2 linked regions of the Drosophila melanogaster genome follow. The protein of the gene in region 2 interacts with the protein of the main gene of each other region in a pairwise test. Each region holds a gene or a part of one and is shown on either strand. Other genes may lie near its edges. The genes, in order: Marf1 and CG17002.

Evidence for each region.
Region 1: the proteins of CG17002 (region 2) and Marf1 interact in a two-hybrid assay, tested with the Drosophila melanogaster proteins (one large-scale study listed by BioGRID).

The regions. Positions count from the first base shown.
Region 1 is NT_033779.5:22,310,058-22,314,965, forward strand, and holds the start of Marf1 (meiosis regulator and mRNA stability factor 1), read left to right. Parts: upstream 1-1,869; 5' UTR 1,870-1,981; intron 1,982-4,908.
Region 2 is NT_033778.4:6,984,138-6,989,719, reverse strand, and holds CG17002 (uncharacterized protein), read right to left. Parts: upstream 3,678-5,582; 5' UTR 3,376-3,677; coding exon 2,944-3,375; intron 2,887-2,943; coding exon 2,787-2,886; intron 2,083-2,786; coding exon 2,032-2,082; intron 1,940-2,031; coding exon 1,455-1,939; intron 1,150-1,454; coding exon 952-1,149; 3' UTR 798-951; downstream 1-797. Other genes in the region: vimar (visceral mesodermal armadillo-repeats), read left to right, coding at 4,302-4,308.

The sequences.
Region 1 (4,908 bases), on a different chromosome or scaffold from region 2:
TTTAAAATATTCCTCCTTATTTAGATGATGTAATTGATATTGTGAAAAATCAATTTCTTTTTGATTCCTGATATAAATCAGGATTGTAATTGGATTGGTGTTTTTTGGATATAAAAATTCTGGGTTCTTTCCGATTCTGAGGTAATTAATTATTTATTAATTTCTAACTGATTGCGCATTTGTCAACAATTTTCTACCAATTACGATATGCTAATTATCGTAACTGTGTACATGAAATGTTTGATTTATTTTTAAAATACTATTGCTGGGTAAGATAATCAAGCTTTTCGAAGTAGTAGGCATTTGATGTTAAAACTTCACATATACTATTTTGATATGTATTTTCCATTGATCATATTATTTGTTGATCCTGTATCTAGTAGGCATTTGTATGTGCACCCTTTGTATACTATTTTTATGTATTCGTGTTGTCGGGGCCGTTGACCGAAAATTTTCGTTTAGTTCAGAACCATTTTGATATATATATATTTTGATATATAATATTTCGTTATTAATTTGTACGGGTTGGATCGGTTGTTGCCCTTCATTTATGAACCCATGATTTTGATATGGATTGTATTGATTTTGGTCATAATACTGTTGTTCGTAATAATTAGGTTGGACTTGTTCGAATTCATGTGCGTCTTGGAATCTCATTTCGTCAATAGACATTTTGAAGTTAGAATTCTTAGTTGTGGAGGCTTGTTGTATTGTAGTTGAGGGTATGTATTTCTTATAAAATGTGCTGTTTGAGGATTTTGGATTTGTTGGAAATGACTTTTGGGAATACTTGGTTGAATGCTGATATATGGGCTGGACTTGAAATAATTGGGTGGTATTGATTAAAATTAGGATGGAAGGGTTGAGAATATTGTGGGTAACTTGGTGGATATTGATACAAATACCCAATTGTATTGAAGTTGTGTGATTTTGAATTCAGATAAGGATTTGAGTTTTATTACGGATTTCGAGAAATTTGTTCAATCCAAAATTATTATGTTCTTTATAAATTCCCTCACTCTGTGCAATAGTAAAGTCTGTAATATCACGATGAGCCAAAATATTGTAGTAAATAATTGTATTGGTAGTTATAAGAGTCACTCGTGGAGTCAAAAAGGCATACCAGATTCGTAGAAAAGTATGTAACAGTCGGGAGAAAGCGTTTCCGACTGTATAGAGCTTACATATGTATAAATATATTTGATAGGGATCAATAGCCGGAGTCGATCTGTCCGTGTCAACGTCGAGATCTCAGGAAATATAAGAACTAGACGGTTGAGATTAAGCATACAGATTCTAGAGACATAGACGCAGCGCAAGTTTGTTGACGCATATTGCCACGCCCACTCTAACGGCCACAAGCCGCCCAAAACTGTCAGTTATTAGTCGATTTGACAAAAACTTTTTGCCACGCCCACTGTAACGCCAAGAAGCCGCCGAAGTGGTCACGCCCACACATTTGAACAATTTTTAATTACTTCTCATTTTATTCCCCAATATCTATCGATATCCCACAAAAATGATAAAAATTTCGCGTTTGCATTCATACTAGCTGAGTAAAGGGTATCTGATAGTTGGGGAAAACGACTATAGCATTCTCTCTTGTTGTATATCTGTAAGTTCATTGGATGAATTGAATTTCCTCCCAATTTTTCCTTTTTTTATTTTTTTTTTGTTTGTTGAACAAGGTGCTTGTTAAAGAAACTACAATTGAGCCAAGACAATTTTATAAAACTACAAAAAGAAAAATTATTTAATCAAAATAATAAAAATTTAATTAACCCCAAACTTTTCAATCACCTTCCAGTGCCTATGCCCGCCACCTTCCAGCCTCCACACAAGTCATCAATGTTTTCTACACACGTAGCCTCCTCAGTTGTTTAAGGGATCACAAAGTCTAAGCTTCGCATGTGCCGTGTTGTTTTAAGTGAATTTTGAGTTTTATTGTCGTAAATTATATAATTAGTTCATATACAATCATGTAAGTACAACAAATATTAATAAATATTCTTAGTGGCATGACCATTAGTAAAATATTAATTGAATTACTATATTACTTAATCTAAGCCTATGATTATAGTACCAATATTAATTAAGAATGATCTATGAATAACGATTTTAATCATTTTAATAATCCAATGACTGGTTAAGGCTCTAGGCAAATTACTTAAACAAGTGCTAACGAACATTACATTGACTGCATTTCGCGCGGGAGTATACATATACATACACATTTTTATGTACGCACATGTATGCCAAGAAAATGGCTTAAAACTAAATTCATGTAGAATTTGTATAGTGCACGATAAAAATGCAACCCAAATTCAACCATAAGCACATTTATTTTGATGGTCTGCAGCACTTCGCAAGTTTTGAAACCAATTCGGATATTATATTTTAAATTTCCTTTTCGTTTAGTATTCACAAAATCCGACGATTTTAAACACATATTCATATTCATATAGATAGTTGAATTGAAACTGTTTTCCAACCAAATTGGTTGGAAATTGATATTGATGTGTGTTGTGGATTGGAAAGGAGGATGTGTCGTGTTGCTACGCGTGCATCTTATGAAGAGTGTTGGGATTTATATTGATGTACACATAAACATACGTAACAATTTAAGCTAGGGCTAAAACAGATTAAATAAATTCGAGTTAATAAAATAAAATGGCTCATTATGCACGCTTTTCGTATAATTTCCCGAGCCTATAAAATATGTACAGTATGAAGTGAGCATACACCACATGGCTTAAGCTTAGAAAAAAATATCTTTATTTTTTATTGTACAAAAAATTAATGATGTGATAGTTGTGCGGATGATCTTAAATCCTGCTCGTGGAAGCATTTTTTTATATCATGAACCTAAACAGGTGTCGAATTGTTGTTGGATAGTTTGCTGTTATCACTCGATCAGAATCTATATGCGAAAACAATTTTGCCCACGGCCACTCTACTTCAAGCCACTTCAACTTCAAGCCGCCCACACGTTCGAAAAATTATTTTATTTGTCTACAGTTTTTTTGACAATTTTAATCGATAACCTAATAAAATGAAACAGTACATTTTTCTTGTGCTCTCCCACTATCTGAGTATCCGGTATCAAGAAACTCGACTATATCGTAATTTCTTGTCTTACCTCTTAAGTATTAAGTATTACCTAGTATTAAAATATATATTTGAAATATGTATGTATAAGATGAGTGCTGTGTTTCTCATCTTCCTATATATTATGAAAATTACAAGCTTAAAGTTAACCGCTTAAGACAGATCACCATACGCTCCCTCGATTAATAATTACCTGGAAAGCCTGTTGAGCCTAGATTTTCTTCGCATAAAGTAAATGTACATTTTTTTAACTCTATGCCGCGGAAAAACGTTGGTAATTTGGAAAAATTATATTCCGCCTACAAAAGGTAATCCTTTAAGTAATCCAAATGCTGTGTGATGGTACAGGTGTTGGAGGTGACCTGGAACAACGGACAGACGGCGATGACAGAAATGGGGCGGAGTCATTAAGAAACCATTATAAATGAGGATTCAGTTTGGTTTTATTAAGATTGCAGCGCTTTCTAATTCGGAAGAAATGTTACTTAACTACTACTTAACGAAATTCTGAATATTGTCAACAAAATCTGAAGAAAAATCAATGTACAAAATCTTAACAAATTCTGCAGAAGTTTGGAAAGGTGTGAAAATGAACTTCAGCAAGGTTCAAAAATCTGAAAACAAATTAGTAAAAAAAAAGCACATGTAATGTTTTAATGTAACCAGGGAGTACAAAATGTGTATACATTTCAGGTAACCATGAAAGCAAAGTAATATTTGAAAAGAAAATTAATTAGCTTCCTAGGTCACATCCCCAACCGTAGATGTCTATGAGCAAACTTCTTTGCCCGAATTCGGGAGTCAAGGGAGTCAAGGGAATTGGAGACCTATGCGGTTTTCAGGCACTACCGGTCCACAATAAAGTGGGGAAAACGCATATGCGGTCTTAGCCACTTATTTCTCATTTTGGACTGGACTTTGTTAAGAAGGTAAATGCAAATATTATTTTCGTAAAGAATTCTCTAGAACATGAAAGCGGCACAATAATGATAATTGTATTATTGAATCGTCGAGGGCCTTGGCAACCGGGACCGGGACATTTGCAGACCCTTATCAAGCCATTCCTTAATAAAATCGCTACTATCCAATCCGATTGGGAACGCGTAATTATTAAAAATAACCTTTTCCCAATGGGCGTATCGCATAGGTCATAATCAGAAAATCGAGATAACCTTACAACAACCGCGTGTGTGTTTTCGATAAAAAAGGACATTGTGAAAATGGCAATAAGAAAAACGTATCGTTATCCATTTTAAGAAACTAAAGAACGCTATTGACGCTGAATACTTTACAATACTTCAAATTATGGGAAAAGCTCCACATTTTACAACATCGGACCTTAAATCGTAATTCCATCAAATCGAGTAATTAGAGAAATACAGGGAAACCCCTGAAATATTTTTTAATGACGAACTGCATTTCTACAGAACTACAGAACTGCATTCTGCACCACTCGGACTGCAAATTGCACCAAATTTTTTCCAAAGGACAATCGATGATGCTTTGCGGAACAGATCTTAAATAAACATGCTACGTGTATGTCGATGACGTCAGTTCTTCACAAAAACTAAAGATCATCAAATAAGATATAGAACAGAGCTTAAAAAGTTTATAAAAGCCGGCATCAGGCAGTCTCAAGAAAAGTAAATCGAGGCCTTCCAATCACCTACGTTGATTTACCAAAACTAATATTGCCATCATTCATAGTGATGATGCTCTCTCGTACCTTTTAACTGTTTCCGTAATCAAAAATAATCGCGGAAGCAGACTTCTCATCTACGAAAATCTTTATCCGGCCAA
Region 2 (5,582 bases):
TTGAGCTCAGACTTTATGTCCCTAAAGGATGCAAAAGGATAGACTTTGCTGTAAGAAACAATGCGTCGATGCTATATATCTGTGGTTATATCTATGGAACCACGGTTTTCGGGCTTCCATTCATATTTAATGACATTGGATACCATTTTGGCAGAACATTCAAGGGTTTTTTGAATGTTCATATATGTTTTTACTTCCTTTCTAAGCTTAATAATTAACATTCTTTTCTCCTGGGAGCAGTGCTGTCCTTTACCCACTAATATATAATTTTTTTCATTTACTCCCCTTTTAAATGTACGAATTAATCAAACTCACTTTTTAAAAATATTGATCATTTCCTGACTTTACGTTGGTCAAAACCAGACACTGCTATTCTTATGAACAGCCTAAAAGTTGTGATTTCGCTTAAGAAAGTAAATAAAAAAAGGATAACATGAAAAACTAACCGGATTTTCTTTTTTTCCCTATATACACATTCCATTTAACAAAAATAAGTGGAATAAAAAGTCAATTCCGAAAAGGGACATGGAAAAATACCTTTGTATTAATTAGTATTCCTCGCACTGCTATTTTTCTGAACACAGCTGTACATACCATTTTATATAATAGTCATTTTTTATATGTATACATGATCCAATTTCTATTGCCCAGAATTTCAAAAACTCTTTCGAGTTAGATCAATTTGCCTGTTGGTGATTAGAACTACGATACCTCAAAGTTATTATGGTATAACCACAGAACCACAGAAGCCCATTGATACCAAATATCAAATCAATATCAAATATCAGTATGGTATTGTCGATTGGAAAATAGGGACGCCATAGTTGTGTGCTTTATTTCGTTTATCCGACTTCACGTGGGAAGCGTAGTCAGTGTTGTAATGTCTATTTAAAATCGTAAGTATATCAGTTAGCGAGTTCCGTAGCGACAAAAGGGGTTAGGGGTTAGAGGCTAGTACAATCGCCGCGTGTAATGCATCTGCTGACCAGGAGGCGGCTGGGCGGAGCCGGATCCGGACGGTGCTCCCGGCTGGCCAGGCAGCATCGCCAGCTGTTGCCGAGCCAACTGCTGCTCGTGGGCGGATCCACCTCGTCCAGGGGCATAGCCCTGTGTGATGCTTCCCGCTGTTTTCGGATTCTGTGGAGGAAACTGGCCAGGCGTTAGTCAAGTGAATATTTAGTTCTTCCTTGTAAATGATATCAAACATGTTAATCAGTAGTTGGGAAGTTGGTTCTAATGCGTTTTCCTATGAAAACATGAAAACCTGCAACAATGAATTTGTTTTATAGAAAACAGCTCTTATTCAAGATGCTCAGGCTTTAAAAACCATTTTCGCAGAGCCTAATCGTTGAACTTCGATTTCGAAGATGTAAATCTAACTTGTTTGTTCTAAGTTGTAAATTCTAAGACACTGCCACGGCTAATTAACCACAAATGTTGAGAATGAGACCCACCTGGCTGCTGCTTATCTGCAGCACGTTGCTGTGCAATGAGAGTTCGTTGAGCAGCGGCTTGAAGATGACGCCCTCCGGCAGCAGGTGTGGCGGAGGCGGGACGTGGCTCGGCGGCTGGCCGTCGTGCTTCACCTCGATGTGGTAGCGGTCCGGTAGCTTCTCCATAGTCACGTGTGGCTGGGAGGCCTTTACCGAGAGGCTGCCGCCGGCTTGAGCCACCAGGTCTGCCTGCGAAATGGTCGGCTGGTCGAGGTTGATGTGAAGCACTTGCATGGGCTGCGACTGCGACGGTGCCTTGGGCGACTGCGAGTCGGGCGGCTTGCTGACCGTGGCGCTGGGCAGGTCCACGTGGTAGGCCTGGCGCAACGGAAGGTTGTAGTTGTAGATGGACTGCAAGCGGGCGTCCGCCTGGTGCTGTGTCGTCGGCGGAGGAGCGACCGTCTGGTAGAAGACCGTTCCCGTGCCCGGATACTGTGCCGCTGTTTCTGGAAGAGAGGAAAAGTGAGGTTTAATTGACGAATCTGGCGATCGTTCCGACGGAGGATCTCGGGCTTGGTATTGCAAGTGAGGTGCTTACTGTTCCATGATAATCTAGCATAGTCAGCGGCACGACGGTAGTCATCGTGTTCTGCGAATCGATCGTAAACAAATAACGAAATGAACATAAGTTGTGTGCCTGTGTTGTTAGAGGTTAGTGTGCGCAGTGAAATGGATTTCTCATGAACGGGACGGAGTGTTAGCGAGCAGTTAATCAAGAAGAACAGCGAAAGCTCCGCAGAACAGATCAATCGGTGATTGTATCGCACCTTTAGCCAATGCCAATTTGCAGTTGAATTTTAAAACTCGAGCTATCTGCTAGAAACCCTATATATATCGTTTCTACACTATATATCCTTCAAAATAATAGGGTAATTTTTGTGCACATTAAAACACATTAAACTAAACCATCCAATACAAAGCCTAAACAGCACGAAACTTTCTTTATATCGAATTGATTATTTACTTAACACTTAACCATGTTTTTGCAATCATTCCTAATTAGAAGTTCAATTGATATTAGTGCTAATATTTCATAGAGCTTAAAAAAGGGCTTGGCAATCAGAATGTAGAGATGATGACATCACAAAAATCACGTATATCTCTCGTCCAAATCAAGAACCATACATATGTGCTAACCAATTCAATGACTAATCAAATTATGAGCAGATCCCGCATTCGAGTTAACAAAATCCAACCGAAATTGCGTGCATGAGACTTTGGACTGCCTGCCTGAGGCAGCGTTCACTGTATCGGAGGCCCAGGGACCACATTGTCGACCTCTTCCTGGCTTACTCTGCTGGGCGTAGCTGGCGGCGCTCTTGTAGTAAGCCTGCTGCTGACTCGGCGGCGATGGACTCCTGCCACGTTTTCCTGGCTGTCCGCCGGACGGGAGCTGCGAGGAAAAAAGAGGACCATTAGAACCTGAATCCCACAATTGCGCAGTCGAGACCTTCTGCATCAGCGTATGGTGCTGGTGTTGGAGGCGCAGGGGCGGCAGGAAGACCGGGCTACTGGCCGCCGCCTGCTGGATGGCGAACAGTTCGTTCTCCTTGGCCAGCTTCTTGCGCGTTTCGTCCTCGTTGAGCACCTTCTTGAGTTGGACGGTCAGCTGATGCTTCTGGCTGTGCAGATCGGCCAGCTGCTCGTCCAGTCGGGTTATCTGGCCGCGTGTGTCATCCAGGGCCACCTGGTTCTGGCGCTCCACCTCCTCGCGCTCCCGTCGCAGCCGCTGCTCCTCGCACTGAGCCTCGAACTCCTCCTGGCGCCGCTGGCGGTCCGCCACGATGAAGCCCTTCAGTGCCCCGCGCAGCTTCTCCGCCCGCTCGGCCTTCGCCGCCTGGGCGGCCGCGTTGCTGTTGTTTACCGCTGATGCTGGCGGCATCTTTGTGCTCTGCTTAGTTATCTTGCCAATTTTATAAGCGTTCGTGGACGACCGGGCAATCGCGACTGTTTGACCGAACCGACCGAGAGGCTCCCCAAATGGAATGGCGTGCTGGTGGCGGTGGGCTGGAATCCGGGTGGACACCGCTACGGGAATCAATGGTTGGGCGTCTTGGGATCACTGCAAATGCTCGACGCCGGGCTGCACTTTATTTTCGTTCACTTTCAGCACGGTTTTTTGTGGTAAACAATTTGTTGAGTGAGTGGGATGTGCCGACCAGTGTTGCCACCAATCGATTAATGGGCAAAGCTAGCTAGAAAATAGCTACTTTCCGATTGTGGTGGCAAATCTTAAGTTAACGTTCGAACTAAATCACTTATAAAGAATTCGATTTTTTCTTTAAAGCTTATATTCCTAATATTACTAGTCACACCCCAGAATTTAATATAAAATACAAATAGTTTCAACACTGATCGATACTTATCGATAACTTTTTGGAAACAGATTATAGTTTTTGGAAAATCCAAGCATTAAAGTCTAGACATTCTAGAAATGTCTATCGATGTTAATAAAATGCGTAAGCATCGATATGGCATCTCTCATTGGAGGTATCGTGCAGCTCGAGCTCTGCGGTCACACTAGAATTGCAGTTGTTGGTGTGAACGTCTGAACGCGATTCGGAAAATACGGATTACACGGATAATACGAATTATACGGATATTGCGGAAGTTGAACGGAGACGCGACTGAAAGAAAGCCGTGAAATGTGTTCAGTTGCGCGCAGCAGTCATTAGCCTATCAGCAGTGTTTGTTACAAGCTAACAGTGATACAACGTGCCTGGAATCGCAACCAACGCAGAGCAAGAAAAGCAGAAAAGCATAAAAACGGAAGAAGCAGCAGCGGAATAATCAACAAAGGCGGCAAACATGGCGAGTGAGTAACATCGAGCATTTCTCTGCCTATGGAGCATCCCAAACGACATACAGCAGACCCCGGATTCCTTTTCCATAGCATAAACAAACGCAATTCATGCGAGTCATTGCAGCGGCCGTTTTATGGCTGCAGTGCAGCATTTACGAGCTGCGAAAACTTCCAAATCGCTGCCAGGTGTCGGAGGAAGTTGCTCCGAGCAGGGGCAGTGGGGTGGGGGCGGGCGATGCGGCTCCCTAGACAAGATGTGTGTGTTTGCCGGGGACATGTGAGAAAAATCAATACTTATGCTCCCCACTCCCCATCCCACTGCACAGTGGGCCGGTCGGATTAGGCAGATGCCGTGCTCCTGCTGCTGTGCGCACCCACTTATCGCGGCCAACAGGGTCAGCGCTTCCCAATCAGAAATCCCGCTCTTTTATCCTTTAATGGCCCCGGCAGTTCTGGCGGGAATTAAGTGCGGCTGAGACAGCGGCCACCACCGTTTTGCACGAACCCGCCACCCGAGCCGCCCACTCCACCGCAGCACAGGAGGAATAGGAATGGGAACTGGGAACAGCAGTGACGACGCATTAATAAATGAGAATATGCCTCCTGCGAGGTGCCAGGTTTACCGGCGTGTCGCAACACTCCCCGCAGTCCTCACAATTCGTTTTATCCCCACGGGGGGTGATATAGCAAACAAAACGATGAAGTCATGCACAGTGAGAAATCTATGGCAACTTTGTTGAATTGTTGATAAACATTACAATTAGGACAATCTTCACAGATTAAGCTTAAAAGGGCTTAAAATTCGATACTACTTTGCAGTCAAAGCGCAGTCATTGTCAAGATAAAGCTGTGACTAACTAAAAGAAACCCCTTTTTTTCTTGTGTTTCTCAGTGTAGTTGGATGTGTAACGTACGCACTGGATGTGTTATATTTGGGTCAGTCACCGATGAGAATTGTTAAACGTAAACAAGTCTCTAAACTTCTTAGTTTTCAAACGTGACTGCACCGAATCAACACATACATAAACACTGGCCACAGACTGTACTGTTTGTATACCCTTTCCCGAGGGGAACCTGTGCAGAACGACAACAAACAGCACTTGAACGCGCCGGCAATCCCGGCCTCGAAACTTCCCCTTTTTCAGGAGGGGTGCTGCATCCCAATCCCCACACCACTGTACACCTCACTTGTCTACAGAACCCACCAGCTGCGCCCAGCGTAGCGAGACCCATTTCCACACTGAAAACAATTCGTGGTTCTTGTTCATTTTAATTCATATGCAAGC